4 linked regions of the Kluyveromyces lactis genome follow. The protein of the gene in region 2 purifies or fractionates together with the protein of the main gene of each other region. This does not show direct contact. Links are inferred from orthologs where the notes say so. Each region holds a gene or a part of one and is shown on either strand. Other genes may lie near its edges.

The links.
Region 1: the proteins of ZUO1 (region 2) and RPS3 purify together in Saccharomyces cerevisiae (affinity purification with mass spectrometry; 3 studies listed by BioGRID). This does not show direct contact. The link is inferred for Kluyveromyces lactis from reciprocal best matches to the Saccharomyces cerevisiae genes ZUO1 and RPS3.
Region 3: the proteins of ZUO1 (region 2) and KLLA0_A04730g purify together in Saccharomyces cerevisiae (affinity purification with mass spectrometry, with the first as the bait; 3 studies listed by BioGRID). This does not show direct contact. The link is inferred for Kluyveromyces lactis from reciprocal best matches to the Saccharomyces cerevisiae genes ZUO1 and TIF4631.
Region 4: the proteins of ZUO1 (region 2) and SCP160 purify together in Saccharomyces cerevisiae (affinity purification with mass spectrometry; 3 studies listed by BioGRID). This does not show direct contact. The link is inferred for Kluyveromyces lactis from reciprocal best matches to the Saccharomyces cerevisiae genes ZUO1 and SCP160.

What each region holds. Positions count from the first base shown.
Region 1 is NC_006040.1:701,848-709,599, reverse strand, and holds RPS3 (40S ribosomal protein uS3), read left to right. Parts: upstream 1-3,261; coding exon 3,262-3,975; downstream 3,976-7,752. Other genes in the region: PBR1 (putative oxidoreductase), read left to right, coding at 1-209; Rho family GTPase RHO5, read right to left, coding at 596-1,360; SHR3 (Shr3p), read left to right, coding at 4,395-5,003; MRPL22 (mitochondrial 54S ribosomal protein uL22m), read right to left, coding at 5,246-6,145; TDA7 (Tda7p), read right to left, coding at 6,547-7,713. UniProt on the Saccharomyces cerevisiae protein: Component of the ribosome, a large ribonucleoprotein complex responsible for the synthesis of proteins in the cell.
Region 2 is NC_006042.1:288,956-297,232, reverse strand, and holds ZUO1 (zuotin), read left to right. Parts: upstream 1-6,417; coding exon 6,418-7,719; downstream 7,720-8,277. Other genes in the region: carbamoyl-phosphate synthase (glutamine-hydrolyzing) CPA2, read left to right, coding at 1-350; KLLA0_F03179g (DUF5137 domain-containing protein), read left to right, coding at 831-1,112; KLLA0_F03168g (uncharacterized protein), read right to left, coding at 1,416-2,972; KLLA0_F03146g (arylsulfatase), read left to right, coding at 4,351-6,018. UniProt on the Saccharomyces cerevisiae protein: Component of the ribosome-associated complex (RAC), a heterodimeric chaperone complex involved in regulation of accurate translation termination and in folding or maintaining nascent polypeptides in a folding-competent state.
Region 3 is NC_006037.1:421,857-427,759, reverse strand, and holds KLLA0_A04730g (uncharacterized protein), read left to right. Parts: upstream 1-2,831; coding exon 2,832-5,897; downstream 5,898-5,903. Other genes in the region: N-acetylglucosaminyldiphosphodolichol N-acetylglucosaminyltransferase catalytic subunit ALG13, read right to left, coding at 1-497; proteasome regulatory particle base subunit RPT6, read left to right, coding at 936-2,150. UniProt on the Saccharomyces cerevisiae protein: Component of the eIF4F complex, which interacts with the mRNA cap structure and serves as an initial point of assembly for the translation apparatus.
Region 4 is NC_006040.1:200,260-209,353, reverse strand, and holds SCP160 (Scp160p), read left to right. Parts: upstream 1-3,290; coding exon 3,291-6,908; downstream 6,909-9,094. Other genes in the region: KLLA0_D02442g (CAP domain-containing protein), read left to right, coding at 635-1,741; KLLA0_D02420g (CAP domain-containing protein), read left to right, coding at 2,172-2,810; Rab family GTPase YPT52, read right to left, coding at 7,219-7,842; KLLA0_D02354g (uncharacterized protein), read right to left, coding at 8,297-9,094. UniProt on the Saccharomyces cerevisiae protein: Involved in the control of mitotic chromosome transmission. Required during cell division for faithful partitioning of the ER-nuclear envelope membranes which, in S.cerevisiae, enclose the duplicated chromosomes.

The sequences.
Region 1 (7,752 bases), on a different chromosome or scaffold from region 2:
TTGCAAATTGCTCAATTGTTAACTTTGCTAGGAAAGAGTTTTATGATAAAGAGCTTCAAGAGAAACTTTACGAAAACACAATCAAACAGATTGAATCTGTGGAGAAGAAGATGGCTGCTCAAAGAAACCAGGCAAGCAAGAAGGAAACAAAGGATCAGAAAAAGAACACAAAACCAAATCCAAAGAAGGCCTCAACGAAAAAAGATTAGCACTTTCCGGAATCCGACGAATTTTGAAGTAATGCTTAACGTTACGTAGTTGCGTCAAGAAATTTATAAGGTAAAATTACAGGATATTTAAACATCAGCATTATTCTTATCCCATACATCATGTATATAAGAACGAACTTTTCGATTTTTCGTAAAATAACGAAGGAAAAGAAAGACATAAATGGCACCCACCAGACAGGTTAGTCCTGGTCAGTAACGTAAAGATAAAAAATTAAAACGTGAATTATAATAGTCATTGAATAATAAGTTCATTGAAGGAAAGAAGGGAAGAAGGAGGGGAAGAAAACCGATAGACAGAACGTATACCGAACGATAGGAAAACCAGGAAGTAAGGAACAAAAAAAAAAAAAGGAAATGAATCCACTCTATAAAATAGTACATTTACGCTTGATTGATCTCTTTGACTTTTGAGGTTTTGTACTGCTTTCAGGTTGAGCAGTGGTGTTTTTCTTGTTAACTTGTTTTGTTTTTGGTTTTTGTTGAGAATCTTGTGCCTGTTGCTTTTGTTGTAGAGATTCTCTGACTAATCTGTCCGGTTCAAATACAACGCAGTCGACAGCCTTCTCGAAAACTTCACGGACACCTACCTGAGTGGCAGCAGAACATTCAACGTAACCCATTAACCCCAATTTGTTAACCAATTCCTGAATTTGTTGTTGGGAAACAAAGTCGGAGTTAGACTCTTGTAAACGGTCACGTTCATGGTCATCATCTCTCAAATCGGCCTTGGTACCAACCAATAAGATTGGCAATTTCCCGCTTTGATGATAAAGATCCAAGTTCTCGAAATTTGTACTGTGTTTAATCTCAGGGAACCATTTATCGTAAACGTTCTCAAAACTGTTAGGTTCATTTACCGAGAAACATATTAGGAATATGTCAGTTTGAGGGTACGATAAAGGTCTCAGTCTGTCATATTCTTCTTGACCAGCGGTATCCCACAGGTTTAACTTGAAAATCTGAGGCTCAGAATCCGGATTATATGGATCCGGAAGAGCAATGGTAGTCGAATAGTTATCAAAAACAGTTGGGATATAATCCTGTGGGAAAGTATTCGTAGTGTACGAAATTAATAACGATGTCTTACCGACCGCACCATCGCCTACGATCACACACTTAATAGACCTCATCTCTCCGATAGTTAGGTTGTATTATGATTATTTTTTTTTTTGTGGTTGGGTCCTACTTTAATATTTGGATCCCCTTGTCGATTAAAGTTTAAACTTATGGCCTTTGATTGATTTCTTTGTCTTGAAAGAAGCCAATTTTTGGTTTATTTTTTTCCGTCTTAAAATCAAAATTAAGAACCTTTTCAATGGGAATTGAAACAAAGCGATAAGAACAGATGACTTTGAATATCAATTCAGTTACAGTTTGAACTCAATTGACCAAAGACGAAAATAAACAAATACATTTTTCGGAAAGAAGATGATATATAGTATACTCCGCTTACAATTACATTTTACCTACAAGCGTTAGGTTATCAACTGATCAGTAACGCTATATATAAGATTAACGAGAATTTACTGAGATGGGCTCTGGATCATAAAAGCGGAAAGGAAAAAAAAAATGAAAAAATATCGAGACGCGCTAGGTAGAATGAATGCTAATGCAGTCGATATTGGAAACAGCATAACTGGTTAAGCTCGGCTGCATTTTTGACGGTCAGAAGTGGCCACTGGTATAAGTGGGGCCAGTGGGGTCTGTTATTTCCTCATTCAGATAATCGCACACTACGAACGTTGCTGCTGTTTCGGACGCCAGACTAGGCCAAACAGTGTAGACTGTCAATTGAAAACAATCAGAAATGGTCGTCTTACCGATTTCTTAGGTACTGGCTCTAGGAAATGGAGTGAATAGCGCAGTTTTGTGCTTTGTGCGGTAGACGGAATAAACTGTATAGGCAACCAGTAAAAGGATCTACGAGTGAACTAGTAAGTTACAAAGTGGAATTGATTGGCCCATTATAAAGGCTGTGCAGGAGTCCGAACATCTCAGAAAACCATTTACAAAATGAGCTGCCTACCTACATGGTTCTTTCTTTTTATTCACACAAGTTGCACCAATCGATGTGCTTGTTTCGAGTGAGCAAGTAGCTGATTTTCATTTTCTTTTTTTTTTTTTGGCCTTAGGGAAAACTTACTAGGAACATGAAAAGGTAGTTGTTATAATGGATTGTAGTGGGTAGGTAGGTTGAGGCATTTCTGGTACATTCCGTATATTCGAGTGTGCTCGCTGTACCCTCTGCAGGTGTACTGGCTCCCAATATTATTCTTTTTTTTCGTTCAAATTGTGAGAAACAGAGAGAGAGAGAGAAAACGAAACGGCATCCTGTAATTACCCGAAGCAATATTGGGTCATATACCTGCTAAAACCCGGTCAATATTGACGTACTTTCTTTTCGGAATAACAAGTATGCAGCTGTGACACGCCGTGATTGCAACATTGTCTGGAATTCCTATGTTATTTCCCATTTTATTATTCGTTGAAACAATTGTGTTGTCTGTTTCCTAAGTGATGCGAGTTACCACAAGGCTCTCGAGTATTCACATAAACCAATGCAGGGGGTGGAACATCTCGCGTATAAATCCTATTTAGGAACTTCCCCATTAGGAAATGGAGGAACGGTCTTGAAGTTTTCTGTTTACGGCGAGTTTTCTACGCTTACCAGGTGACTTGAAAATATATGTTCCTGGGACTGCTCACCCGGACATTTTTGTTTTAGTTTTTTTTCCAATTTTTTCTGCATTGCCATTTTGGGTACTTATCTCATTGAAAATGTTCATTTATCTGAAGCATTAACCCATACACCACATGTGTTGGTGAGTAAATACTGTCTTTCAGATGATTTTTTCATTTTCACCATACCAATCGCAGCGATTCGGACGGTTTGACGAATATTGTTCTCATCATCGCTTTACAATCTGGTTCATTATGAACATAAGTGCCATTGGACATACAAGATACTTACTTTAGTTAGTTTTATTATCACCTATAATTTCGAGCTCCCCGACGAACAAATAAAGTAAAAATGGTTGCCATTATCTCCAAGAAGAGAAAGCTTGTCGCTGACGGTGTTTTCTACGCCGAATTGAACGAATTCTTCACCAGAGAATTGGCTGAAGAAGGTTACTCTGGTGTCGAAGTCAGAGTTACTCCAACCAAGACCGAAATTATCATCAGAGCTACTAAGGTTCAAGATGTTGTTGGTGAAAATGGTAGAAGAATCAACGAATTGACCTTGTTGATTGAAAAGAGATTCAAGTACAAGCGTGGTACCATTGCTTTATACGCTGAAAGAGTCCATGACCGTGGTTTGTCCGCTGTTGCTCAAGCTGAATCCATGAAGTTCAAATTGTTGAACGGTTTGGCCATCAGAAGAGCTGCTTACGGTGTTGTCAGATACGTTATGGAATCTGGTGCCAAGGGTTGTGAAGTTGTCATCTCCGGTAAGTTGAGAGCTGCTAGAGCCAAGTCCATGAAGTTCGCTGACGGTTTCTTGATCCACTCCGGTCAACCAGTCAACGACTTCATTGAAACCGCTACCAGACACGTTTTGTTGAGACAAGGTGTTTTGGGTATTAAGGTTAAGATCATGAAGGACCCATCTAGAAACACCTCTGGTCCAAAGGCTTTGCCAGATGCTGTTACCATCATCGAACCAAAGGAAGAAGAACCAGTTTTGGAACCTTCTGTCAAGGATTACAGACCAACTGAACCAGTTGAAGCTGCTGAATCTGCTTAAATCAATTGATATCTGTTTGATTCTATATTATTAATTAGTCTATTAAATACCGTTCTTATATGTATAAATATTAAGAAACTCATCAATTCTTTTAAAAATAAGTAATCTATGCCCAGATGACATCGATTAAAACGTCCTGCTTTTATCAATGGATTTTTAAAATGATTTATCGATAGCGCCTTCCGATAATGCCTTTCCGCCTTTCAGTTCCTTTATCTTTCATACTAATCAAAAAAATTCGGTGGGCAAAAATCATGTAAATTATTAAAAAAAAAGAGAATATATAGTGCGTACTGAAAAAACCAATGGCTCAATTATAGATGAATTGTTAACCATTTAATACCACACGTAGGGTCTATACGTTCCATTTTTAAGAGAACGTAGGTATCGCTCACTAAACACATTGACTGAAAGTAAATATGGGCCTAACTTATAAGGATTTTTGTGCTGTAGGTACAGCATTGATCATTGGATCAACTACTTTTTTGATGGGGATCTTCTTTTCTAATCAACCATATGACTATAATATCCTATTCAATCCTGCTGCCACGCCGGAGCATTTTGAGAACGCTTTGAAACACTACCAGACTCTATTCTACACGGCCAAGCCAACCCTTTATATGCTTGGTGCGGTGGCCATTGTGGGAGTCATTGGTTCCTTGATTAGGGTATACAAGCCAAATCCAGATTTGCAATTATTTGAATACGGTTCATTGGCTTTGTACGTTTTGGGTATCTGTGTTTTCTTAACAAATATCAAGACCGGTGTTGAATCTGCGGTTTACCATAACTGGGGTGAAGTCTCTGAGGCGCAAGGTATTGCTGTTGTTGCCTCTTCCAATATCATTATTTTAATTGTCTTTGCTGGTGTCTTAGTGTTGCAAGGAGGTTTGTGGTACAGTACCTGGGAATATGAACAAAGATTAGATCAATGGAGGAAAGACCAATTGAAGGAATCTGCCGCTAACCAACAGAAGGCGGAGAAAACTACTGAACCAGCTAAAACGGAATCTAAGAAGAAGAAATAGACGAAATTTGTTTCCTTACAGTTTGATGCGGTGAAGTATTTCGCGTTGCTTTCACTATTTACAAGCTCTTGTTCTATATATTATATAAATGATATGAAATACTTGGCTATTCCGACATGGATAACTTGAGATGAAACCCAAAGACAATCTAAGGACCTTATTATTGATGATTTAATTGCTGTATATTATCTTCACCCATTATCATTGGAAATAAACGTAATATGATAATGTTTAATATCTCATTACCATTTGTAAACACCACCCATAGAACCTCTGATGGGTTTATCTGCTAATTGAACCCACGGTTTCTTCCTTTGTTCTTTTAGTTTGGCTTCGTGCTCTAGTCTTCTCTTCGTTACACTCTTGGTCTTCAATATGCATTTGATATGCACATATGGGTGTTCAATGAGACCACGTCTACCTCTACCCTTCCATTCGACACGTTTTTGCCAAAATCCATCACTGCCGGTCCATATCTGGGAGATGTATAGGTCATTGGCATCCAAGCCAAGCTTCACACCATCATTAATACCGCGCTCCAATAATTCGGCAACATCACGGGCAACCTTTTTATCGGAGAAATGACATTGAGTCAAAGCTTTCTTAGCGTCCAATCCGTTCAAAAGTCTAAGCAGCTGTGTGGCCTTCTTCATAGATGATTTTACTCTGTAAGATTTAACATAGACACTAGGTTCAAGCACTTCTAATTCTTCATTCGTTAATCTCAAAGAACGATCTTTAGGGCGCACGCTTTTGTCGTAAAACCCACCGTTCAACCTAACCTGTTGTTCATAGAATTCCTTCTTAACTCTTGGTAACAAAAATTCTGGTAAACTTTTGATCATGGGGTCTTGTTCTTCGATATATTTCTGTAATTGTGTATCATTGGCTGCTGTAACTTTCTTTTTAGCCTCTGCCAGCTGGGTAGCAGCATCCAAATCATCTGACAGTTCGGTAGCAGTAGTCAACTTATTAGATAGTTTATTTGGATCGTCATCCTTCAACGGATTCACTCCATCGGTGACTTCACCGAATAGCGAACCTTGTGCAGATTTTTGTAGCTGCAATGCTGAAGCTTGAAAACTTCTTACACCGGAAGCCTTTCCCAAGCCGAACAGGCTAGTTACTGTCCTCGATAGCATTAAATTTTATATAGGTTGAACTGATGACAGAGCCTGCAACTAACCATGTAATTTACACGTGCCTCTAGTATTATACTGTAGGCATTTTATTACTTTGATCAATCCTTCTTCTGTACAATGTTTGATTATCAAAATTTTTTTGTTCGATGGTTAGGAAATATAAATCATCGTGAACGGGCATGAAGATATAAGGAATGGTTCTACTGTGTGGAGGAAGATATTGAAGTCCGACTATCTTGACGGGTTGTAAGATCACAAATTAGAAAAGCGTTAGTGTGGAATTGCTAGGAATTAAACCTTAAATATGAACTATATAACTGAAGATGCACAAAGAAGTATATTGAATAGAAGGGAAAATTTAAGTACAAATTTGAAAACTTTGTAATTAGAGTTTGGTAAGATCAGTGTTCGATTAGTTCCGTTAAATATCCGTGAGCGTTCTGTGGGTTTTCATCGTAAGTAACTGACATTTCAGTGTCATGTGTACCCTCATCGGTGGAAGATGACACAAAGGATGAATGTAGTGATGTTGTGGAAGGCGTCTGAGACTCTGGATCTGCAATCGATACAACATATTCGTCGTCGAATGGATTTGTCGTCTGTGGCCTCCTGACAGAATCTGCAACATATGGAGGCACTGAGGGCAAACTTTTTGAAACTTTGTTATTATTATGAGCAGTCGTCGATACTCTGGTTGTAGTCTTGGTGGTTTGCTGAGACTGTGCAATAAACGTTCCGATATCGTCGTATCCCATTTTTCTCCCAATGTCGTGGGAGAAGCTCTTTTCGTGTTCGATAAGATTTCTCCTTCGTCTCTTCCTAAATAATAAATAGATCACCAGTATCATTAGCGCCAGACCTCCCACGCTTCCTATTACACCACCGATTATTGTATCTTTATTTGATCCAGACGATGTTGAGTTGGAATCCAATGCGCCAGATAGCCATCTTTCGTAAAAAGATGTGTCAGTCACAACTGGACCTGTAGGTGTAGTGAAAGTAGCCTCTGTGGGTATCACTGTAAGTGTCGGTAGTCCTTTAGTAAAGGTGGTTGAAGTGTCAGTAAAGATGAAATCTCGTGTGTAATAAACCACAGTTTCAGAAGACGGTACTTCAGTGGTCAACGTTAACCAAGTCGGTGTAGGCACAGTGGCAGTAGCTTCTGTACCCTCAACAGATGTGTATTCTTGGGTCGCGGTGTTCTCGGGATAAATTGTTTGCATTACTATGTTGCTCGGTCCTGAGCTCATCTCAAGTACCGTCACCATTGCCGTGTCTACATCTGTATGCGACGTTGAATCATCTGTTGACGGCGGTACCCAAACTGTAGATGGCGATACTATGCCAGGTGAATCCGAATCCGAATGTGATCTGTTTGGATATACCAGAACCGTCCTGGTCTTCATACCATGTGGCTGCTGCGTAGAATTTCCTGAGTCAGGGTTGATGTAATCCGTTCGTAAACTAGCAACGCTTTGTGAGAACGACTCCGAACTTTCTGTCAGTGTATCTGACGAAGAAACAACAGATGAATAATCAGTACCGTCAGTGGTAGTGTTGAACAACATCTTTAGGTGAACTGGCCAGTGAGATCCTGTTATAGATCT
Region 2 (8,277 bases):
CCAAGAAATATTTGGAGACGTTCAGCAAGGGCGTTTCAGTCGAACTAATCGAATTCCCAAAAAATGACAAGAGAAAGTTGCGTGAACTCTTCCAAGCCAAGGATATCAGTGCTGTATTCAATCTTGCCGCCAAGAGAGCAGAGAGCCTAGAAGATGTAGATTATATCATGAGAAGAAATGCTATTGACTTTGCCCTTCCATTATTCAATGAGCCACAAACTGCTATGCTATTTGCGAAAGCTATGAGTCTGAAGATTGCAGAAAAGGTGAAGGTTTTGGAATCTAAGGATGTTATTGTTCCTCATGAAGTCCGTACCTGGAGTGAGTACTTACACTGCAAACCAATTTAATTATCCTTCAAATTAATCTCAAAATCAAAATAAATTAATAATAATTCTCTTAATTGGTATTACACCAAAAAGTTTGTATATACGAACATATTTCTTAATAATACATAGATGATAAACTTGATAAATGTTATTCGATTTTTCAACGATACTGTAGTCGTTGTCTCTAAGGTTGTAGTTAGAGATCCATAAAGAGCCATACAATATAGTTGAAAAAACCCCAGAGTTCACCTTTGATGTAAAAAAAAAAGAAAAGTGCCTTGAAAGATGCTAACGAAGTAGAATTGTATCTATCATATTAAATACCTGAGACGTTGATTAAGTCCCTAAAAGTGTAGTTATTGAGCTGTGATACGTTCATGCTTCCCTACAACAGTGTTCTAATATAGCAAATTACTGCTACCTTCGCTGATTAGGTTTAATCAGAAAGTGTGATTTGAGGCAATACCAAGACACTTCTGAAAACCTAGTTGGCAGTGCAACATGGATGAAAACGATCCATATGGCTGGTACCTGGAGGAACCCGATAATAGCGACTGGGAAACTGATGATACTCAGCAAATCATCAACTCTGAAATGTATACCAGAAGCCTACAACCTGAAAAACTGCCGGCTCTACCACCTATCAAGGAAATAACAGATGACAACCTTAAAAGAGATAGATCAGAACGTTCAGATTCGAAGATGGTGACAAATACAACATATTCCAATTCCAATTCAGATCCTCCTAATGAGCTTCACGGTATTAAAAGACAGAGAAAGTGAGGGCCGTATCACAGAGTTGACTATTTTCCTCTTCTTTCAATATAATGGGTGAGCGGTGCTTCCTCCACAAATCCATGTAACGATTTTAATGACATTGCGTAATATGTATATATACAAAATTTATAATCACAGTAAAAACTAGTACTGACTCAATACGTTCAGTGTTATATCCCAATGACTCATGAAGAACTGTTGTTATCGGTTGACATTTGACTAATTGGCAGAGGAAACAATAGCTCAAAAGGAATAAAAATTGGTAACATAAGGAAAGATGCAAATTAGATATAAGCCAGATGTAAAAGTTCAGAATTTCTTTGTAACAAAAGCAAATACAGAAGATAGAATTGTATTATTGTGCGCATTTCTAGGTGATCTATTAAGCTTTTGTTTAACCGCGTAACATTTGCTCATCGTATATAAACCACTAGAAATCATGGACAATACAGAAACATAGATGATAAAGTTGTTATAATTCTTTAAGGAACCATCACCGATGATAACACCTGAGACTGGAATTGCAACTAGAAATGAAAGACCAACGAAACAATACATTGTTGCATACCTTCTTCCAAACTCGTTTGTCCTTGAAATTTGACCGCAGCAGACTGGAGCGAGATTAATCAATGACCCATAAAACAAACCATAGACTGCGGAAAATCCGTACATTACCGAAGGACCTATGTTTCCGAAAGGTAACCAAAATATTAGCGGGACAAATCCTAACAAGAAATTGATCATGATCATGACGTTAAATCTGCCCATCACTTTATCAGCCAAAAAACTAAACATGTATCCCCCGACAATACTTAAGGTGTTCAAAATGGTGACAAGTAAAAATGAAGTATTCTCAGAATACCCTACCGTTGTACAGTAAGATGTGATATAGGTTAAAACGGCACCAGTAGATACCTCAGCCAAACACGAAGCTAAAACACAAAACAGATACTTTTGATCGGATACTATAGACTTGTAATCAAAGGAATCTCTTATGTTGTAAAGTAAATTCTTGTGGAAAGGAGTGCTAGCATCTTTCGGTTCGACAGCCGCACGTTTCTCGGGGTCTTCCTTGATTAAAAACATCGAAACAGTCAAACATACTCCACAAATTAAAGCCATAATTCTCATAGTCCAGGCGAACCCCAAATTTTTAAACGATTTTTCTAAGAATAATGGGAAAATAACACCACCAATACTCCCACCGTTAATGGCAACTGCAGTGGCAATAGCTCTTCGCTTCTGAAAATGGTGACAGATACATCCCAATAACGGACTAGACGTAATACCTGATCCTGTGCCAACGCAAACACTCAATGCAAGAATAAACTGCCACACTTTAGTACATTGTGCTACTGCCAATACACCCCCAACGGTCATTACTGTACCTATCACTAAAGGTTTTCTAGCACCATATCTGTCAAAATACATCCCACTGAAGACACTTGTCCCTAATAACAAACAACTCGAAACAGAGAAAATCCACGATACTGTAGATGTTGACTCATCCTTTAACTGGTGACGTGCAACGTACGTTTGAATGACACCTGCTGAAAAATACAACCCCCATGTAGGTAAAATACCTAAAAATGAGCCAAGAACAACTAGCCAAGCTGCGATCCCTCCCTCAGCATACGTAAAACCATCGTCATCGTAATCTGTATAGGCATCTGAACCTCCGTCATCATTATCAAAACTTTGGACGGGCTGTAGTTCATTTATATTTATACCTACTTCTGATCCGATAACGTTCTTCCTCGTCCTTTGTTCATTAATACCTTTCAACTCGATAGTTTCAATATTTGACATTGCAGCTTGTGTTAATTGCCCATCAATTCCCTTTACACCCATTGAATCGGATGACATATCTAAAAGAAGTTTACTTCACTCACACATGAGATATCGAAATGTTAACAAACCTTTAAAGACACCTCCCAGAATCCAATGCTATTCAACTGCGTATGGATCCTCCCCAAATATATATATGATATACTCCTGCAGTTGGCATATTCTTTTTTAGACTATTTTCCAATTTTTTACGTAACGTTCAATGCAGATTCCGAAGTTCCGGAGGAGACCATCAACGTCAACGTATTAGGTTTGCAAGTGACTCCATCTGTCGTATAATAATTTGTACATGCATAACCTGTATCAGACATAACGACAATGAACAGAGGAACTAGGTAGAGAAATTCTGGAATTGGCTACTCGAACCGGTTGTCAACTATATTAACTATGATTCTGAAGGTAAATAGTCGGTATTTGTCACGTGACTTTCCAGTGGAAGTAACAGAGGAAGCTCATATCATTTTTTTTTATTTTTTGAAAACTGTTCGTGCCCTTTCAGTAAGCGACAAAACCATTGCGCTGAGTTCTGGTGAGCTTATCGGAAAATTTTGAAGATCTCCATTTATTGCAGACCCACTGCCTCTTCTGGTATTTTATTGCGAAAGTCTTGAGGTTGTTCAAAAGAGCGGGTAACTTTTCGTATTTACTTTAGGCGCTGTTTCCCAGTTTCAGACATTCAATACCTCAGCTATTTGAGGGCCTCCATGAAAAGTGACCGGGTAACATAATGGGTGGCCAAGTAAGAAGCTAATGCAGGTGATGCAACATGCCAACGCATTTGTGGGGACATCTCACATCTAAAATTAAACACATATTACCTGTCAAGCCGTAGGTGAACATTAACAGGCATTTGGTTACTTATCTGTGGATACGGAATACATGCACTTGATGCTGAACTGTTGGGCGCTACCAAACTTAATAGCACGTGACTTCTCCTAATTTTGCAGGTTGTCATAACCAAAATAGATACAGCAAGCCCATCCGCTCAAGAAAGAGGACATGAAATTGTGATGTTTTTCTTGCTAGATCATAATGTTTGTAAGATTTTGGAAGAAAAGACTCAAAAAGACTCCGTTTGACTGCTAAATTCTGGGCAAACTGGAAAGTACCGGGCTTTTCTCTGGAAGTGTAAGGTATTACTAAATTAACCGGTTACTGTTCGCTCCACCCGATCATGAGAGTTTACAGAAAGTTCTTACCTTGAAACTTTTTTACTGTCACCCTTTTTATCACTTCGAGTAAAGCTTTAAATGACATAATTTACAATATAAATATGGATCATCTCACCTGTCATCATGGTCTTTTAGGAATTGTGAAGGTATACTAACCAATTGTTACTCTATGATCTATCCGAAAATCCGCAAACTGCATTAGAGAAAAGTACAATCGAATTGCAATGACCAAAACAGATGAACCTAAAAAGCCGAATTTCTTAATTATTGTCGCCGATGATTTAGGGTTTACAGATGTGTCGAGTTTTGGAGGTGAAATACAAACGCCAAACCTTGATAAATTGTCTAAAGGTGGTTTCAGATTCACTGGTTTTCATACTGCATCGGCATGTTCGCCAACTAGATCGATGTTGTTGAGCGGTACTGACAACCATTTGGCAGGTTTGGGCCAAATGGCTGAATATGCCAGGCAATTTCCAGAAAAGTTCAAGGATAAACCTGGTTATGAAGGTTATTTGAACTATAAGGTTGCTGCATTGCCTGAAATATTATCCCCAGAATATTACACGCTGATTTCGGGGAAATGGCACCTTGGATTAGAAAAGCCATATTGGCCAAGTGACCGTGGATTCCAAAAACGTTTTACCTTGCTGCCTGGTGCAGGAAACCATTTCAAATGCAATTTGGATAGCAAGTTTCTTCTCCCATGGATTTATCAGGAAAATGGCGAAAGGGTAGACCATAACAAGTTTCCAGAAAACTTTTATTCCACCACTTACTTCACAGATAAATTTTTGGAATATTTGAAGGATGATGAAGAAAGAAAAGGTCGCCCATTCTTTGGCCAGTTGACCTACACAGCTCCACATTGGCCATTACAGGCTCCTGCTGAGACTATCGCAAAATACAAAGGTAAGTATAATGGTGGTCCCCAGGCATTGAGAAGACAAAGATTGGAAAGAGCTAGAGATCTTGGTATTGTTCCAGCTGATGTTGTTGCTCATTTAGTAGAAACTCAAAGAGAAAAGACTTGGGATGAATTAGATGATAAGGGAAAGGCCTACGAAAGCCGTATTATGGAAATTTATGCCGCGATGGTTGATGAATTAGACCAAAATATCGGTAGAGTTATCGATCATTTGAAGGAAACCGATGAATTCGACAACACTGTCATCATGTTTATGTCAGACAATGGTGCTGAAGGTATGTTAATGGAGGCATTGCCGTTTGGAGGTTCCACTTTCAAGGAAAGAATATCGTCCGATTATAACAACGATTTTGACAACATTGGTAAAACAAACAGTTTTGTTTATTATGGTGATTTGTGGGCTCAAGCAGCTACTGCTCCAAATTATATGTATAAAATGTGGGCAACTGAAGGTGGTATCAATTGTCCTCTTATCTTACATGCTCCACAATTAACAGGACTATGGGAACCAGGTCAAATCATCGACCAGTTTACAACAGTTATGGACATTTTACCTAGTGTTTTAGAATTGGCTAACGTTCCTCATCCAGGTACCTCATTTGAAGGTCGCAAGGTGCACGAACCAAGAGGTTTGTCATGGATTCCTTTCTTAAAAAAAGAATCCGAAAGAATATATGACGATACCAGGGTCACTGGTTGGGAATTATTTGGTCAACGTGCCATTCGCCAAGGTCCTTATAAAGGTGTGTATATTCCACCCCCATTTGGCCCTGGTCACTGGTTACTTTTCAACATTGATGAAGACCCTGGTGAGACTACAGATTTGTCCAAAGAGCACCCAGATATCTTAGAAAAGATAATTGATCACTGGTCTGTGTATAAAGCAGAAACTGGACTCATCGAATTAGAAGACTCTGTCTTCGATAATGCCCATTATGTGAAAAGAGTACTTGATGACTATTAATCGTTAGCTATATCAACTTAAAAATCTCTTAGTTTTGAAGTTGCAGCTGCGTTCGAAAAGCAACATCAGTTACACCAATCCGTATTCGAGACCCAATATGAAAAGGGTATGTTATTCGTTACTCATACGCTTGTCGTAGTTGTATCATTTTATCTAGGCAGAAATAACCTATATATAATAGATAATTCTATTCATTTCAAGCTACGTCGTTTTCAATGTGTTGATTTTTTTCGCAATTATTTTTACTTCGAGCTCATCGCATCTATAGGAAGAAGAAAAAAATTATCAAGATGTTCTCATGTGCATTATATCTGGTCTTAATTTTGATGAACGATGGGTTATACCGTTCTGTCCAGACACAAATAATCATACGTCAGACCGATAACAGCAATCAAAGCAATGTTTGAACTACCTCCATTATCTGGTGCCGTCGGTGCCACTGTTGAATCTGGTGCTAAACTAACACCATCCATTAGACGTCCTATTGAACCAGTTGGTAAATTCTTCTTGCACCACGCTCAAAGAACTTTGAGAAACCACACATGGTCTGAGTTCGAGAAGATTGAGGCTGAAAAGAATGTTCAAAACGTTGAACAGTCCAATGTCGATCCAGACGAGTTGTTGTTCGACACTGAGTTAGCTGACGAAAGTTTGTTAACTCACGACGCAAGAGACTGGAAGACTGCTGACTTGTACGCTGCTATGGGTCTATCCAAGTTACGTTACAGAGCCACTAACCAACAAATTATTAAGGCTCACAGAAAGCAAGTCTTGAAGTATCACCCTGATAAGACTTCTGCCTCTGGTGCTAGCTTAGACCAAGATGGTTTCTTCAAGATTATTCAAAAAGCATATGAAACTTTGACTGACTCCAACAAGAGACCGCAATATGATTCTTGTGACTTCGAAGCTGATGTAGCTCCGCCAAAGAAGGGTACTAACTACGACTTCTTTGAAGCTTGGGCTCCTGTTTTCGAATCTGAAGCTCGTTTCTCCAAGAAGAAGGATGTACCAACTTTGGGTGATATGAACACTTCCAAGGAAGACGTTGAAAAGTTCTACTCTTTCTGGCACAGATTCGACTCTTGGAGAACATTCGAGTTCTTGGATGAAGAAGTTCCTGATGATTCTTCCAACAGAGATCACAAGCGTTACATCGAAAGAAAGAACAAGGCGGCCAGAGATAAGAAGAAGACTGCTGACAACGCTCGTTTGGTGAAATTAGTCGAAAGAGCCATGAACGAAGATCCACGTATCAAGCAATTCAAGGAAGAAGAAAAGAAGGAAAAGGAAAGAAAGAAATGGGAAAGGGAAGCCGGTGCTAGAGCCGAAGCTGAAGCCAAGGCCAAGGCTGAAGCTGAAGCTAAGGCTAAGGCTGAAGCGGACGCTGCTCAAGCCGCATCTGCCAAGGTTGACAAAAAGAAGGCCAAGGAAGCTGCTAAGGCTGCTAAGAAGAAGAATAAGAGAAGTATCCGTAACGCTCCAAAGGATGCTGATTACTTTGGTGATGCCGACAAATCCACTACCATCGAGGAACAAACTGGTTTGATTGTCGACTCTTTGGACGACGAACAATTGGTTGACGTTGCTGAAAAGATCAAGAGTGATACTGCTGCTGCTAAAAACATATTGTCTGATGCAGCAAAGGCTTTGACTGACGCTGGGAAATTACCGGCTGCTATTGTCTCTTACTACTTATAAATTTAAAGATGAGATCAGTTCAAAACCAGCCCAGAGGAAATATATAGCATATAACATAGTCTACTGACATTGGCTCTGCTATTTAACCCTTCGATTTATATATATATACCAGTAAAATCTGACAGCTACCTATTACTTCGGTTTCCAGGAAAGTCAGATAGTGGTATCGCTTATATAAATACCGACTTTAAGATGGTATAAAAGTAAAATCCGAATTGCAAGCAGAAATGAACAAATACTTCAAGCGCTTACTGGTTTATCGTAGCATCGGGCTTCATACATGGACTGATGTGGTAAACCTCAAATAGTATGAAAATTTTAGGTTATACTATATATATACGGTAGTTCAACGTCCAGTATTGATCAGTACTGAAAAATCAAAAACAATAACAGTGTGGGAGAAAAAAGGACCCAACCTAAAAGACAGATCAGTTTTTTTTTGCAGAGTACTGGAACCAAACGAGAACAGGTGTGAAAACATAGTGAAAGTTCAGTGGTAGTGGATATCTAAGGAATTGGAACCTATTTTGCGAGCTGCCATTACTTGTGTCGTTTTGG
Region 3 (5,903 bases), on a different chromosome or scaffold from region 2:
CGAAGTAGTTCTTCCGTGTTCGCGTGGACAGACCACAAAAGTTTCTGTTGTTCAAACTTATCTGCGATTAACTGCTGGTGATTATCCATCAACGTATCGTTCACCACCACAATAAGTTTTTTCCCAACTCTCAGAGAGTCCAAAATCGAACCTGTACCTGCATGTGATATCACCAAGTCTATATTATTCGCAATCAACTTCTCGATGTCATGCGAAAACTCGAACCCACATATCTCTATTCCATCCACAGAGATTACTTTAAGGTTTTCAATCTTATCCAAAACCTTGATGCCACAGCTCTTCTTCTCCGTAAACAGACCTAGGTGCTTCTCTACTAGTTGTAAAAATGTATCACTAAACCCACGTCCGTACTGGATCACAATTCTGCCATACCCTAAAACTTTCAACTTCTCTGTGACAGATCTATCAAGTACTGTTTCTACCAGTCTGGGGAAAGAGACAGTAGCTCCGCAAGTTACAAGAACAGTGTTATTCATTGTTTTCTCTATTTGGATCTAAATTATCGATTCGGCGAACCGCACCTCGCCGATGATGTTATTCACGACTACTTGCAACCTGCATAGATCTGGTTAGCTATGCTTGTGATGATTACTGAAATCATAATCATTTTCAACGGACATGCTCATACTTAAGGACTTACAGTTTGAAAGTTAAAATTTAAGGCATTATAAACGTTGAAAAGCTGTAATCTTTAAACACAATCTTAGAGTAAAACGAGTGGCAAACACAAATTGCAAGGGCTTTCCGATCCAATAGTGGTATTTAAGATAGAAGACACGAATTATCATTCATTTGAGAAGGTACTGATACCATAATTCCTTATAATTGCCACTAGAAAGTAAACTATCTCTTGGGATTAAAAAGAATAAGAGAAGCGTTAAAAACTAAAGAAAAACTAACCTATACTGTAAAGGATGAGTGCTGTACAAATTTCGAGTATTCCTTTGACGAGCCATGACTCTGGTATCAAGCCTTTCTTTGACCAAAAAATCCAGGAAAGTGAGCTTAGGATCAGAGAAAAGACATCGAATTTGCGTAGACTAGAGGCTCAAAGAAATGCGTTGAATGATAAGGTCAGATTTATAAAGGATGAATTGAGGCTCTTGCAGGAATCTGGATCATACGTGGGAGAAGTGTTGAAAGTTATCAGTGAGAAAAAAGTTTTGGTGAAAGTTCAGCCTGAAGGAAAATATATTGTTGATGTTGCTAAGGATATCAACGTCAAGGACTTGAAAGTATCACAGCGTGTATGCTTGAAGAGTGACTCGTACCAATTACATAAGGTGTTGGAGAACAAGGTAGATCCGTTAGTGTCTCTAATGATGGTCGAAAAAGTACCTGATTCTACATACGATATGGTGGGTGGGTTAACGAAGCAGATTAAAGAAATCAAGGAAGTCATTGAATTACCAGTGAAACACCCAGAACTATTCGAAAGTCTTGGTATCGCTCAACCTAAAGGTGTTATTCTATACGGTCCGCCAGGTACTGGTAAGACTTTACTAGCGAGAGCCGTAGCACATCACACAGACTGTAAATTTATCAGAGTAAGTGGTGCCGAATTGGTGCAAAAATATATCGGTGAAGGTTCCCGTATGGTCCGTGAGTTATTCGTGATGGCTAGAGAACATGCGCCTTCTATCATTTTCATGGACGAAATCGATTCTATCGGTTCCAGTCGTGTTGAAGGATCTGGCGGTGGTGATTCCGAAGTGCAAAGAACCATGTTGGAATTGTTGAATCAATTGGACGGGTTTGAAACTTCGAAAAACATTAAAATCATCATGGCTACAAACAGATTGGATATATTGGACCCTGCATTGCTAAGACCAGGTAGAATTGATAGAAAAATCGAATTCCCACCACCAACCGTAGCGGCTAGAACAGAGATTCTAAGAATCCACTCAAGAAAGATGAACTTGACCCGTGGTATTAACCTAAGGAAAGTCGCCGAAAAGATGAACGGATGCTCTGGAGCTGACGTTAAAGGTGTTTGTACCGAGGCTGGTATGTACGCACTAAGGGAACGTAGAATTCACGTAACCCAAGAAGATTTTGAACTAGCCGTGGCCAAGGTCATGAACAAGAACGACGAAACTGCTATCTCTGTAGCAAAATTGTTCAAGTAAGGATCCTTCACCCCTTTCATCTCAAACAGCGCATATCATTAGATACATCCCTACATATTATACATAAGCCACGTACAACACACGCCTGTGGTTGTACCCCCGTGTCAATATGTTTCTAATCAGATCCTCTCTTTTTCCCCCTCATCGCATCTCATCTCGTCATAAACTTGACCATCATGTCAATCTTCTCAATATACACGAAAGAAGAAAAAAAAAATTTTTACATTGTAAAGAGGAAAAGCTGTGAATCTTTTGAAATAAAATTTCAACCTTTAAGCCATTGAATTTTACCATTACGATAGCACATTTTGCATAAAACAGGATAGAGGAAAAGAGGCACAGAGAGCTACTGCTGATCTGATAGTCAATAGATTTATCAGCACTTGTATTGTTTGAATTGTTAGAGAGTAACAGTGGACAGTAAAGAAACAAATCTGGGAAAAAAAGAATCTCACAAGAAAGTGATAATTTTTTTTTGTTCTTCGTTTATTTGTTTAAAGAGAAAGAGTTAAGAATTGGACTTTAATTTCATTCTACTCATTCGTGTTTCTATATAACTCGACTCGTTTTCTCTAGGTACTCTGGATTACTCGGTTACAAGAGAGAAATTAAACAGAAAAGAGCTTAGATCCAGCTAATTTCATCTGAAGAAGAGAGAAAGAGCGGTTTTTCAAAGCAGATATGGGCGAACCTACATCCGATCAGCAACCAGCTGTTGAAGCTCCAGTTGTGCAGGAGGAGACAACCAGTTCTCCGCAAAAAAACAGTGGATATGTCAAGAATACTGCTGGAAGCGGTGCTCCTAGAAATGGGAAATATGATGGTAACAGGAAGAACTCTAGGCCTTATAACCAAAGAGGTAACAACAACAATAATAATGGTTCTTCCTCGAATAAGCACTATCAAAAGTATAACCAACCAGCGTACGGTGTTTCTGCGGGATACATTCCGAACTACGGCGTATCGGCAGAGTACAACCCTCTGTACTATAACCAGTACCAACAGCAGCAACAGCTGTACGCTGCTGCTTACCAGACTCCAATGAGCGGACAAGGTTATGTCCCCCCAGTAGTGTCTCCAGCTGCTGTTTCAGCTAAACCAGCGAAGGTTGAGATTACTAACAAGTCTGGTGAACACATAGATATTGCTTCCATTGCTCATCCACATACTCATTCTCATTCTCAATCTCATTCGCGTGCAGTTCCAGTAGTGTCGCCTCCAGCTAACGTTACCGTCGCTGCTGCTGTATCATCCTCTGTGTCTCCATCAGCTTCTCCAGCTGTCAAAGTACAGAGCCCTGCTGCTAATGGTAAGGAACAATCTCCAGCTAAGCCTGAAGAACCAAAGAAGGACACTTTAATTGTGAACGATTTCTTGGAACAAGTTAAAAGACGCAAGGCTGCTTTAGCTGCTAAGAAGGCTGTCGAAGAGAAGGGTCCTGAGGAACCGAAGGAATCTGTCGTTGGAACTGACACTGATGCAAGCGTTGATACTAAGACAGGGCCTACAGCCACTGAATCTGCCAAGTCTGAAGAAGCTCAATCAGAATCACAAGAAAAGACTAAGGAAGAGGCTCCAGCTGAGCCAAAACCATTGACTTTGGCCGAAAAATTGAGACTTAAGAGGATGGAAGCTGCAAAGCAAGCTTCTGCTAAGACCGAGGAACTAAAGACTGAAGAATCTAAGCCTGAAGAAACAAAGACCGAGGAGCTAAAGACTGAAGAATCTAAGCCTGAAGAAACAAAGACCGAGGAGCTAAAGACTGAAGAAACAAAGTCCGAGGAACTAAAGACTGAAGAACCTAAGGCGGAAGAATCAAAGGCGGAAGAACCAAAGCCTGAAGAACCAAAGACCGAGGAACCGACGACTGAACAACCAAAGTCAGATGAACCAAAGTCGGAAGAATCAAAAACTGAAGAGCCAAAAACCGAGGTATTAAAGACTGAAGAACCAAAATCGGAAGAATCAAAGCCTGCAGAACCAAAGACTGAAGAAACAGCAACTGAAGAAACAGCAACTGAAGCAAACGCCGAAGAAGGTGAACCGGCTCCTGCTGGTCCCGTTGAAACTCCTGCTGATGTTGAAACAAAACCTCGAGAAGAGGCTGAAGTTGAAGACGATGGAAAGATTACCATGACCGATTTCCTACAGAAGTTGAAAGAGGTTTCTCCAGTTGATGATATTTATTCCTTCCAATACCCAAGTGACATTACGCCTCCAAATGATAGATATAAAAAGACAAGCATTAAATATGCATACGGACCTGATTTCTTGTATCAGTTCAAAGAAAAGGTCGATGTTAAATACGATCCAGCGTGGATGGCTGAAATGACGAGTAAAATTGTCATCCCTCCTAAGAAGCCTGGTTCAAGCGGAAGAGGCGAAGATAGATTTAGTAAGGGTAAGGTTGGATCTCTAAGAAGTGAAGGCAGATCGGGTTCCAGGTCCAACTCGAAGAAGAAGTCAAAGAGGGATGATAGAAAATCTAATAGATCATACACTTCCAGAAAGGACCGTGAAAGATTCAGAGAGGAAGAAGTCGAAGAGCCAAAGGTTGAGGTTGCCCCATTGGTCCCAAGTGCTAATAGATGGGTTCCTAAATCTAAGATGAAGAAAACAGAAGTCAAGTTAGCTCCAGACGGAACAGAACTTTACGACGCGGAAGAAGCATCAAGAAAGATGAAGTCATTGCTGAATAAATTGACATTAGAAATGTTCGAACCTATTTCTGATGATATCATGAAGATCGCTAACCAATCTAGATGGGAAGAAAAGGGTGAGACTTTGAAGATTGTCATCCAACAAATTTTCAATAAGGCCTGCGATGAACCTCATTGGTCATCAATGTACGCGCAATTATGTGGTAAGGTCGTTAAAGACTTAGATGATAGCATTAAAGACTCAGAAACCCCAGATAAGACTGGTTCTCACTTGGTTTTGCATTACTTAGTCCAAAGATGTCAAACTGAATTCCAAACAGGATGGACTGATCAACTACCTACAAACGAAGACGGTACTCCTCTACAACCTGAAATGATGTCCGATGAATACTATAAGATGGCTGCCGCTAAGAGAAGAGGTTTGGGTTTGGTTCGTTTCATTGGTTTCTTGTACCGTTCGAACTTATTGACTTCCAGAATGGTCTTCTTCTGTTTCAAGAGACTAATGAAGGATATTCAAAACTCTCCTACTGAAGATACTCTAGAGTCTGTATGTGAACTTTTGGAAACAATTGGTGAACAGTTCGAAGGTGCTCGTATTCAAGTTACTGCAGAAGCTGTCATTGAGGGTTCAAGCTTGCTAGACACACTATTCGACCAAATAAAGAACGTGATCGAAAATGGTGACATCTCCAGCAGAATCAAGTTTAAGTTGATCGACATTGTCGAACTAAGAGAAAAGAGGAACTGGAATAGTAAAAATAAGAACGATGGTCCAAAGACCATTGCTCAAATTCACGAAGAAGAAGCCTTGAAGAGGGCTTTGGAGGAAAGAGAAAGAGAAAGAGATCGCCATGGGTCCAGAGGTGGTTCCAGACGTATGAATAGCGAGAGAAACTCTTCTAGAAGAGATTTCTCCTCTCATTCTCACAGTCACAATCAAAATAGAGACGGTTTCACTACTACCAGATCGTCATCAGTGAGATATTCTGAGCCAAAGAAGGAAGAACAAGCTCCAACTCCAACTAAATCTTCTGGTGGCGCTGCCAACATGTTTGATGCATTGATGGATGCCGAAGATGATTAAGTTTGA
Region 4 (9,094 bases), on a different chromosome or scaffold from region 2:
ACATGTAATAGCACCTGAACGACACCTCAAGATTTGATCATGAACTGAGACCGTTTTGCTACTTTTCCAACAACAGTATAGATTCAGATACAATATGAGGTGTCAGGACTAAATAGCTAAACAGAATATGTAGAATAAAAATCAATTACCAGTACAAATACGGAAACCATAGTAAGCTGTAGAACCTTCACACTGCCCGATTCATAAAACTGGCACCTACAATCTACAACTGGCAAAAGACACTTCCAGATCTGGCATCGGCCAACTCTATTCCTTTCTTTTCTGGTTTCTCATCGTTACCAGATCTGGATCTGGCCTGCTTTGGTACCCTTTTTTTGGTGTGTGAAATCTGCTCTGTTTTAGGTAAACCTATTGAATGTTGTTCCAAACAGGGCATGCTGCTTCCTTTCACACCACCCTGACTCTTTACGTTCTACAGGGATTGATGAACTGACAGCAATGAATACCCTATGTAGGCTATTCAGAGACCCGAATTGGGCAACCCTTTAACCCTTTTCGACATTAGAACCCTCATCCATTAATCAAACATCAATAATAGTACGTTCTTTGTATATACTATTGTTCTAGTTTACTTAGTTATTAGTTGTCTGCCTCCCGAGGTGTTTTAAGTCCCATGCCCTGGCAGTGTAGACACACATTGCGCCGGTGTTTAGCATTTGTCTATTTGGCATTCCTTTTATACTCTCGTATATATTTCTTAACATATATATATGTGTTAATATTCTTTGCTGGTTTCAAGATTTCGTGGTTTAAAGCTAGTATATATATTACAAGAGGTCTTATTTCTTTCTGTCTGAGATTGAAACACCAGGCGCGTTTTATATTTTTTAAAGAACCAGTACCATCCTTTGTCACAATGAAGCTGTCCAATGCCACTCTTTTATCTCTTGCAGCTACTGCTATCGCTGCCCCAGTAGCCACTGTTACTGTTCATGAACACGTTAGACATACCGTCATCGTCGAAGGTTATGTCTACATTGATGGTACCACTACTTCTACCGGATACAGAACTGTAAATGGGCAATCCGTCGAAACTGCTGCCCCAGCCACCGAAACTGACACGGCCGCTTTTGTTACTCAAGTTGTTGCTGCCGGTGCTGCTGCCTCTCCATCGTCTCAAGCTGTCGCTGCTGAGTACGTCTCTGATGAAGATACCACCACTACTGGTGCTCCATCCACCACATCCACTGCTGAACAAACTACTTTGACCCCAACTCCAACCATCGAGCAAACTGCTACCAGTACCCCAGCTACCACTACTGCAGCTACCAGTTCTTCCAGCTCTGACTCTAACCTTTCGTCCTTCGCGTCTTCAATGTTGGATGAGCACAATGCTAAGAGAGCTCTACATAAGGACACTCCAACTTTGTCCTGGTCCGATGAATTGGCCTCTTACGCTCAAAACTACGCTGATGATTACGACTGTTCAGGTTCATTGACTCATTCTGGTGGTCCATACGGTGAGAATTTGGCCATTGGTTATGGTACCACTGGTGCTGTCGATGCTTGGTACAGCGAAATCAAGGATTACAGTTTCTCCAATCCAGATTATTCCTCTAGCACCGGTCATTTCACCCAAGTTGTTTGGAAATCCACCACCAAGGTCGGTTGTGGTATCAAGCAATGTGGTGGTGTATGGGGCGACTACATCATCTGTTCCTACGATCCAGCTGGTAACATGCTAGGTACTTTTGCCTCAAATGTCGAGCCATTGGCTTAAACCCAATCTCATTTCGGATATTTTTGAAACAAATGTCAAACATTTGTCATGGCTCTTACCCACAATACAAATACCAGTTTTATATTTCAGGACAACGAAACAGTTTTTCAGTTCTCAGACAGGAAGATGGTAGATTATCGTTTGATTATCCCGGTCGTCTGCTGGCGTCACTATCTTATTTTACTCTAGAATTCAGTCCGTATTTTTTAGATACCTTTTGTCGTTTTATGTATACGTTTTTATACCCTATCAGTTTTCTTGCAAATTCCATACAATCCTGGAACACAGAGCTATCGGCAGAGCTTGCAACTTGATAGCTTATAAACAGGGCCATTAATGTTTCTGGTTTTCGAATGGCTTAAGTATCTATAACCCTTGAGGCATAATTTTTCAGATAGATAAACTTCGGAAATAGAGCAACACCTGCCAAATGAATCAGGTTTACTGGCTCATATTGGTGGTACTAATCCACGCAAAAATCTTGTGTCATGCACAGGGTATAACAGTGACAAAATACAACACTGTTCGAATAATAAGAACGAAAACCGTCTCAACGACAACACATTTCACAACTTCAAGAACAATTGTTTACAGAACAGCCTCCGGCACCTTCACGGAACAAGTGTCCACAAAACCAACGGCCACGGACCCGGATTTCAAAACGGAAATCCTGGACGTGCACAACTCATTACGCAAGAAACATCAGGTTTCATCGCTAGTTTGGGCTCCAGAACTTGCATCTAGAGCACAAAATTTCGCCAATTCTTACGTATGCAACGGGCAATTAGAACACTCAAAGCTGCCTTACGGAGAGAACCTTGCTCTAGGATATAATACTACCTCAGCTGTTCTAGCATGGTATAACGAGGTAAAACTGTACGATTTTAACAACCCACAGTTCGCAGCAAATACAGGACATTTCACCCAGCTGGTATGGAAAAATACCTCGAAACTTGGCTGTGCATTTATACGATGTGGCCAGTATTACGGTCAATATACAGTATGCGAATACGACCCACCGGGGAATGTAATCGGAAAGTTCAGTGAAAATGTCTTACCCGAGAAGTAAAATAGAAAACTGTCCGATGACAGAAGACTTGATAAGCGTTGGTTGATTCTTTCCCTTGCAAATCACGAACTCAGGGTAACCAACACTTCTCCTTTCTTTTCACGGGCTTTCACACGATTTGGATCGTTGTTCTTTTCGAAGCTTCGACAATATGAAGAAATAAGAAGTGAAATTCAGTTAGAGAAAAGAAGGTTTAAAATATAAAAATAGTTAAACTTTGAATCATAGATACCGGTTTCAAGCCACCTAGATTAGCCGAATAAGTGAATTGTGGGATCAATTGGTGTACTATAGAATATACTCAACCGTTTTTCTGTATCATAGTCGTGTGTGTTTGCTTTTTCTCTTTTATTTCCTGTGCTTAATACTCAATCACTCACTATATTGAATATTAGTTAAGGGTATTTGTTTGTTTGTTACTGATTTTTTAGTTTTTGATTTACTGCTTTGTTATAACCGGACCTTCCTTTATTTTCAATAATGTCTGAAATCACTCCTGATGTTGCTGAAGATTATTCTCAAATCGTGGTAGATACGCCACCTTCTTCTGCTGATGATTCGTCGAAATTAGCTGGCCAAACAATTGAACAAACTGAAAAGTCTAATGGTGAAGAAGCTGCCACTGCGCCAGCGGTCAAGGTTTTATTTCCAAGATTGGGAGGAAATGCTGCTGCGTCTGCTTCTGGCAATGCTGTCTCCTGGGGGTCTACTCTGAAATCAGGTAGCTCCGTTAACAGTGTCTCTTCTCTTTCCCATGGCAAAAACGGACGTGCTTCTTCACCTGGTTCTGCTAAGCCATTGCGTTCGAGAAACATTCAGGAAGTGTTCTCGCTAGACTTAGATGCACAATACCAAATCACAAAGACCGAATTCTCCAGCATCGTTCAGTCTGTTAAACAAAAGTACGATGTCTCTGTGGAATCCACACTATCAAAGACTTCGCGTACTTTCTTGATCTCTGGTTCTTCTGACAAGATTGGTCTTGCTAAGAGAGAGTTGGTCAAGAAGTTGACTAAACCTGTCAATGTGACTTTTGAAGTTCCTTCAAAAACTAGATCTGCCATTATCGGATCTGGTGGTAAGACCATCAGAGCAATCTCAGATGCTGCTGGTGTAAAAATCGTGGTTCCGAAGGAGGTTGATGAGGGTACCTACGATTCAGATTTGGAAGACTATTCAGTAACCATCTCTTTACACGGCGATGCTGAATCTGTTCTCGTTGCAAAGAGTAAGATCTTGGACGTCGTGAAGGAGGAAACTAAAAACGCCAAGATTGTTCTTCCTGTCGAGGACTCCAAGTTGGTTCCCTTCATCGATCTAGAATCAGTTGAAATTCCAGCTGATGTAAAGGCGCAGCTGTTTACAAACAATGACCCCGCTGAAATCGCATTAAATGGTCCTCGTGATAATGTTAAATTGGCCAAGGTTAAGGTGATCAACTATTTGAACGAATTGGGTCTAAAGATCGTGGTGAAAAAGGAAAAGGTCCCATTCAAATTCCATCCTTTGGTAAAGCCTTCAGAATTGAATGAGAAGTTCCACGTCGAAGTACAAGCTCCAAGTATTTCCGGCGATGATCAATTCGTTTTCATCGGAAGCTCTGACAACGTCAATGAGGCCATCGTGTACGCTAAGAACTCATCTAAATTCCATACCGTGGAATCATTGGAAATTTCAAAAGCTCATGGTAAAAACGTTAAACATGCTAAGAACTTGATTCTATACTTCCAAAAATATAACGTCTTAGATCAAATTACCGAAGACTTCCCACAAGTGCAAGTAGTTTTACCTAAAGTGGAAAGTATTCCAGCATTGGAATCCGTCAGTATTACCTTAATTTCAAACAACGATGCCGCAGACGCTATCAAGACCGTTCGTAAACAAATTGTAGCTTTGGTTAATGAATTATCTCCAGAACAAACGTTAACTATTTCAGATTTGGATTATCATCTATTCCACAAGGACATCAAGCAAATCTTGGTCTCGACTGAAAGTGATGTCCCATTCATTCAATTGGGTGACTGTTTCCCAGGTAATGACGATATCTTACTAATCACCAAGATCAATGAAGATGATTTCAAGCCATCTGATGATGAACTAAAAGTTAAGCTGGAATCGGTCAACCAACAATTGGAACCAATCAGAAAGAAGCAAAGCCTTTTAGCATCCAATGTTGTTTCCCTTGCCAAAAAAGAACAGGATGAACTACTCGGAGAATCAAAAGTCACTTTGAACTTGATCAATGAAGCTGTTTCTCATGCTGGCGCTCATGCTTTAATCAAGTTGAGCACCCCTTCAGTCAACCAAATTACTATCAGAGGTGATGACCATGGATGTAAGATTGCTTCCGCTGCTGTCAAGTCCATCGTCGAGAATTCATCAACAGAATCCAAGATCACATTCCAAGTTCCAACCAATGTAGTTTCGAGATTGATTGGTCCAAAGGGTGCTAACTTACAACAAATTCGTGAAAAGTTTGACGTTCAAACTTTCATCCCACAAGATTCTAAGGATGAGAATACCGATGTTACATTGACCGGTTTGCAATACAATCTTGACCAAGCGAAAACATATATTCTAGCAGAAGCTAAAAAATGGTCCGATATTATCACTAAGGAATTAATCGTCCCTATGAAGTACCACCGTACATTAAGTGGACCTCAAGGCACTTATCGTATCCGTTTGGAGAACAAGTACTCCGTTTTCATCAGATTTCCTAAGGACAGTGAGTTAGTCACCATCAGAGGTCCATCTCGTGGTGTCAAAGCCGCTTATGATGAACTGAAGGCTCTTTTGGACTTCGAAATTGAAAATGGCCATAAAGAGCTTCTCAAAGTTCCAGTCGACTATGTTACTAGAGTCATAGGTAAAAGTGGTGAAACTATCAACGATATTAAGGCAGAGTATGGTGTTGAGTTAAACTTTTTGGACAAAACCGACAGTGAAAAGGCTAAGGAAGCTGGTGAAGTCGAGTTGGAAATCACTGGTTCTAGATCTAGCATCAAAGAAGCTGCAAACAAAGTCAAATCTATCATTGATCAAGCATCAAATTTTGAGACAGTTACTCTGGAAGATATCGACTCTAAGTATTATAGCGATATCATCGGTCGTAGTGGCTCCCAATTGAAAGAAATTATCAGCAAAGCTGGTGGTGATGAGATTAGAAACAAGAGAGTCAATATCCCTGATGCCTCTTCTGAAGACAAGGTTATCACTATCTTCGGACCATCTGACTTTGTGAAGAAGGTTGTCAAACAAATTAAGGGAGTTGTTTCTGGCTTAGAAAACAGCATTACCGAGGAGCTAAATATTCCACAAGAGAAGTTTGGTGCCTTGATTGGTCCAGCTGGATCAGTAAGACGTGAATTGGAGACAGAATTCAAAGTAAGAATTCATGTTCCAAACAAGAACAGCTCAGATGAAAAGGTCACTGTTTCTGGTTCTCCTGCTAATATTGAATCTTGCAAGAAGAAAATCGAAAAAGAAATCATCAGGGATAGTTTCGACTTGGAAATTGCTGTCCCTGCCAAATACCATTCATACGTTTCTAACTCTGGTTTGATTTTCCAAACGTTAAGAAACGAATTTTCTATTGATGTTTCTCATGGTAACTTGACTAGAACCGCACAAAGTTTATCTCGTGCGAACTACAAGGTTCCTGAAAATGTCGCTGGTGGTGAAAATGAAAGCTCCAACGTCCTCATTCAATCTGTCACAGAAACTGAAGCTAAGGTTGACACAATCCCATGGAGATTAACATACTCACCAATTGACTTGAGTGATGTTTTAGGTGAAGACTATAAGAAAGATGAAGAAAGCAAAGATCAAGTCTTAGAAAAAGCGTCCAAATTGATAGAAGACAGAATCGCCGAGGCTAAACTTGTTAACACCGAAGGTTTCGTTTGGTCCAAGGATGCAAAGAAGTTTAACTCTATTGTTGGACCAAACGGTAGAAATATCAGAGAAATCAGAAATGCCACTAAAACTGTTATCCATGTTCCAAGAAAAAGCGATAAGGTTAACAATGTTATATATGTCCTAGGCTCTGAAGAAGGTGTGAAAAAGGCAGCTGAATTGATCTGCAAGAGATTAAAATAGTTTTAATGTTTTCACTTTGTCCGTTCCTTTGATCCAATTCTTGTATTTATTTCCTCTATTGGTGTTCAACGCTGCACAGATTAGCACTACATAAGCTTACATTAATACCACATAATTAATCATGTATACTGAATACACTTAAAACCTATATCAAAAAATGTAAACAAAACTATTTCTTCAAAATCCTCGGTTGTTCCTCAATGTTAAAGATTTATACGGGCTAGCGTGTGTTTCATGGTTATACGTAAACGTATATATATATTTATTGTGGCCTGAAGATCTATATGCAGGCATACGAATAAAGCCGTCTTCATGAGCAACAAGACTGTGAATCATTTGTACTTGGTCTTTGCAATGATATATTATTATTATTAGGTTTCTTCGATTCCTGTATCTTATCTTTGTTCTGCAAATATAATCTTTCACCAATATCTTGGAAGACTTTGATTACGTTTTCTCCAGTCTTAGCACTGACCTGGTGGAACAACAAATTATTCTCTTGTGCAAACTCGCGTGCGTCCGCTTCATCGACTAAAGAGGTCGATTCCCTTTCAGATACTAGATCCAACTTATTCCCCACAAGACAGATGATCAACTTATCGTCATTTACCTTTTCTTTCAATTCATCAACCCAAAGCTTGGCCTTAGGCAAAGAATCTGGTTCAGTGACATCGTACACAACTAAAGCGGCATTTGCATTACGATAGTACATAGGTGCCAAAGATTTATAGCGTTCCTGACCGGCCGTATCCCAAATTTCAAACTTCAAAACTTGTTCATCATACTCTTCAGATAATTTAATAGTTTGTGAAAGAAAAGCTGCACCTATAGTCGATTCCCTGTACTCATCAAACGAGTCTTTGACGAATCTATGAACAATACTGGATTTTCCAACAGAAGAATCTCCCAACAATACTAATTTGAACTGAAGCATAATTTATGGGAAGTAAATTGCGATATTTTAGAAAGAATCAGCAGTATAGGAAACCTGGGGTTGATATTGGTGAATGCTCGAAACAAAATGTCCAATACGACTTCTACCCGCGGTTACTCGTTCCAGTTTCTCTACTTTTTTATCTTTTTATCTGGAAGGGATGAAACCTGTTGATTCTGAATTTAAAGGTTTCAATGACTGAAAGCCTTTAAGTTGGATAATACGAATTGTCGATCACGTGATTGGTAATTTGAGGGGAGTTCGTGACGTTTAAAACAATGACAAGAGGCTGATTTGGTTGATAAATATAGTTGGGGTGTGTATTGATTAAATAGAATAGAATAAATAGTAGCTAACATTAATCGAATAGAAGTGAAATGAAGTGAAGTGAAGTGAAGTGAAGTGAAGTGAAGTGAAATGAAGTGAAAGAAGTATCGTGCGCATGCTTATTATCTCATTCAGTAGACATCTTAACAAAGCCCAGCTCGTTAAGCCTTTGGATAGCGGCCCCGATCTTCTCTGCTTCCAAGAGTTGTTCTTCCTCGGGCCAATTATCAGCCTCGGAATCCTGCTCAGCGATAGAAGTCATTGAAGAGTTGGAATTAACAGTTGATGCTGCAGTGGTGGTGTTTGCCGATGGCGTGGGTAGTCCGGAGTAGGTGATGTAATCATGCGATATGGAAGAACACACTGAAGATTCACGAGAAACTGGAGGCAAAGGCTCCAATCTGTGAGTTTCCCTGTTGTGTCTAAGATGTAAAAGATTTAATATCGAAGTAGTAGTGTTCGAGATATTATTGATTGGTGATTCGATCAACTTAATGAAAGAGGAGTTGACGAAGGGGCAATGGAATGAGTTATGTGGCGAGACAAAACAGGTTCTGATATCTTGCCTTAGTTGAGGAGAAGAGTACCCTATCAAAAGCTCCAAGATGTTGAGGATCTGAGGTAATCTATGTTCTTGTAGGGGGCAATACAATTCCTCTGAAGCTTGTAGCAACCAGTCGTTGAACTTGTCCTCGAAAATGCATAAGAATCTATTGACAGTGGTTCTTTCGACGGACAGGTTATGAGTATGTAGCAATAGGTAAAGGGATCCAAATTGGATCAAACAATCTTGAAATCCAGCCACGGAGTTGTATGGTTTTCCACTAAGTTCGGTGAAGAGAGACCAATATACTCGAGAATTGGCAGAGAGATACCCGTAGTTGAAACACAAAGCGTACCAGTATTTACCCAATTCTGTAAGAAT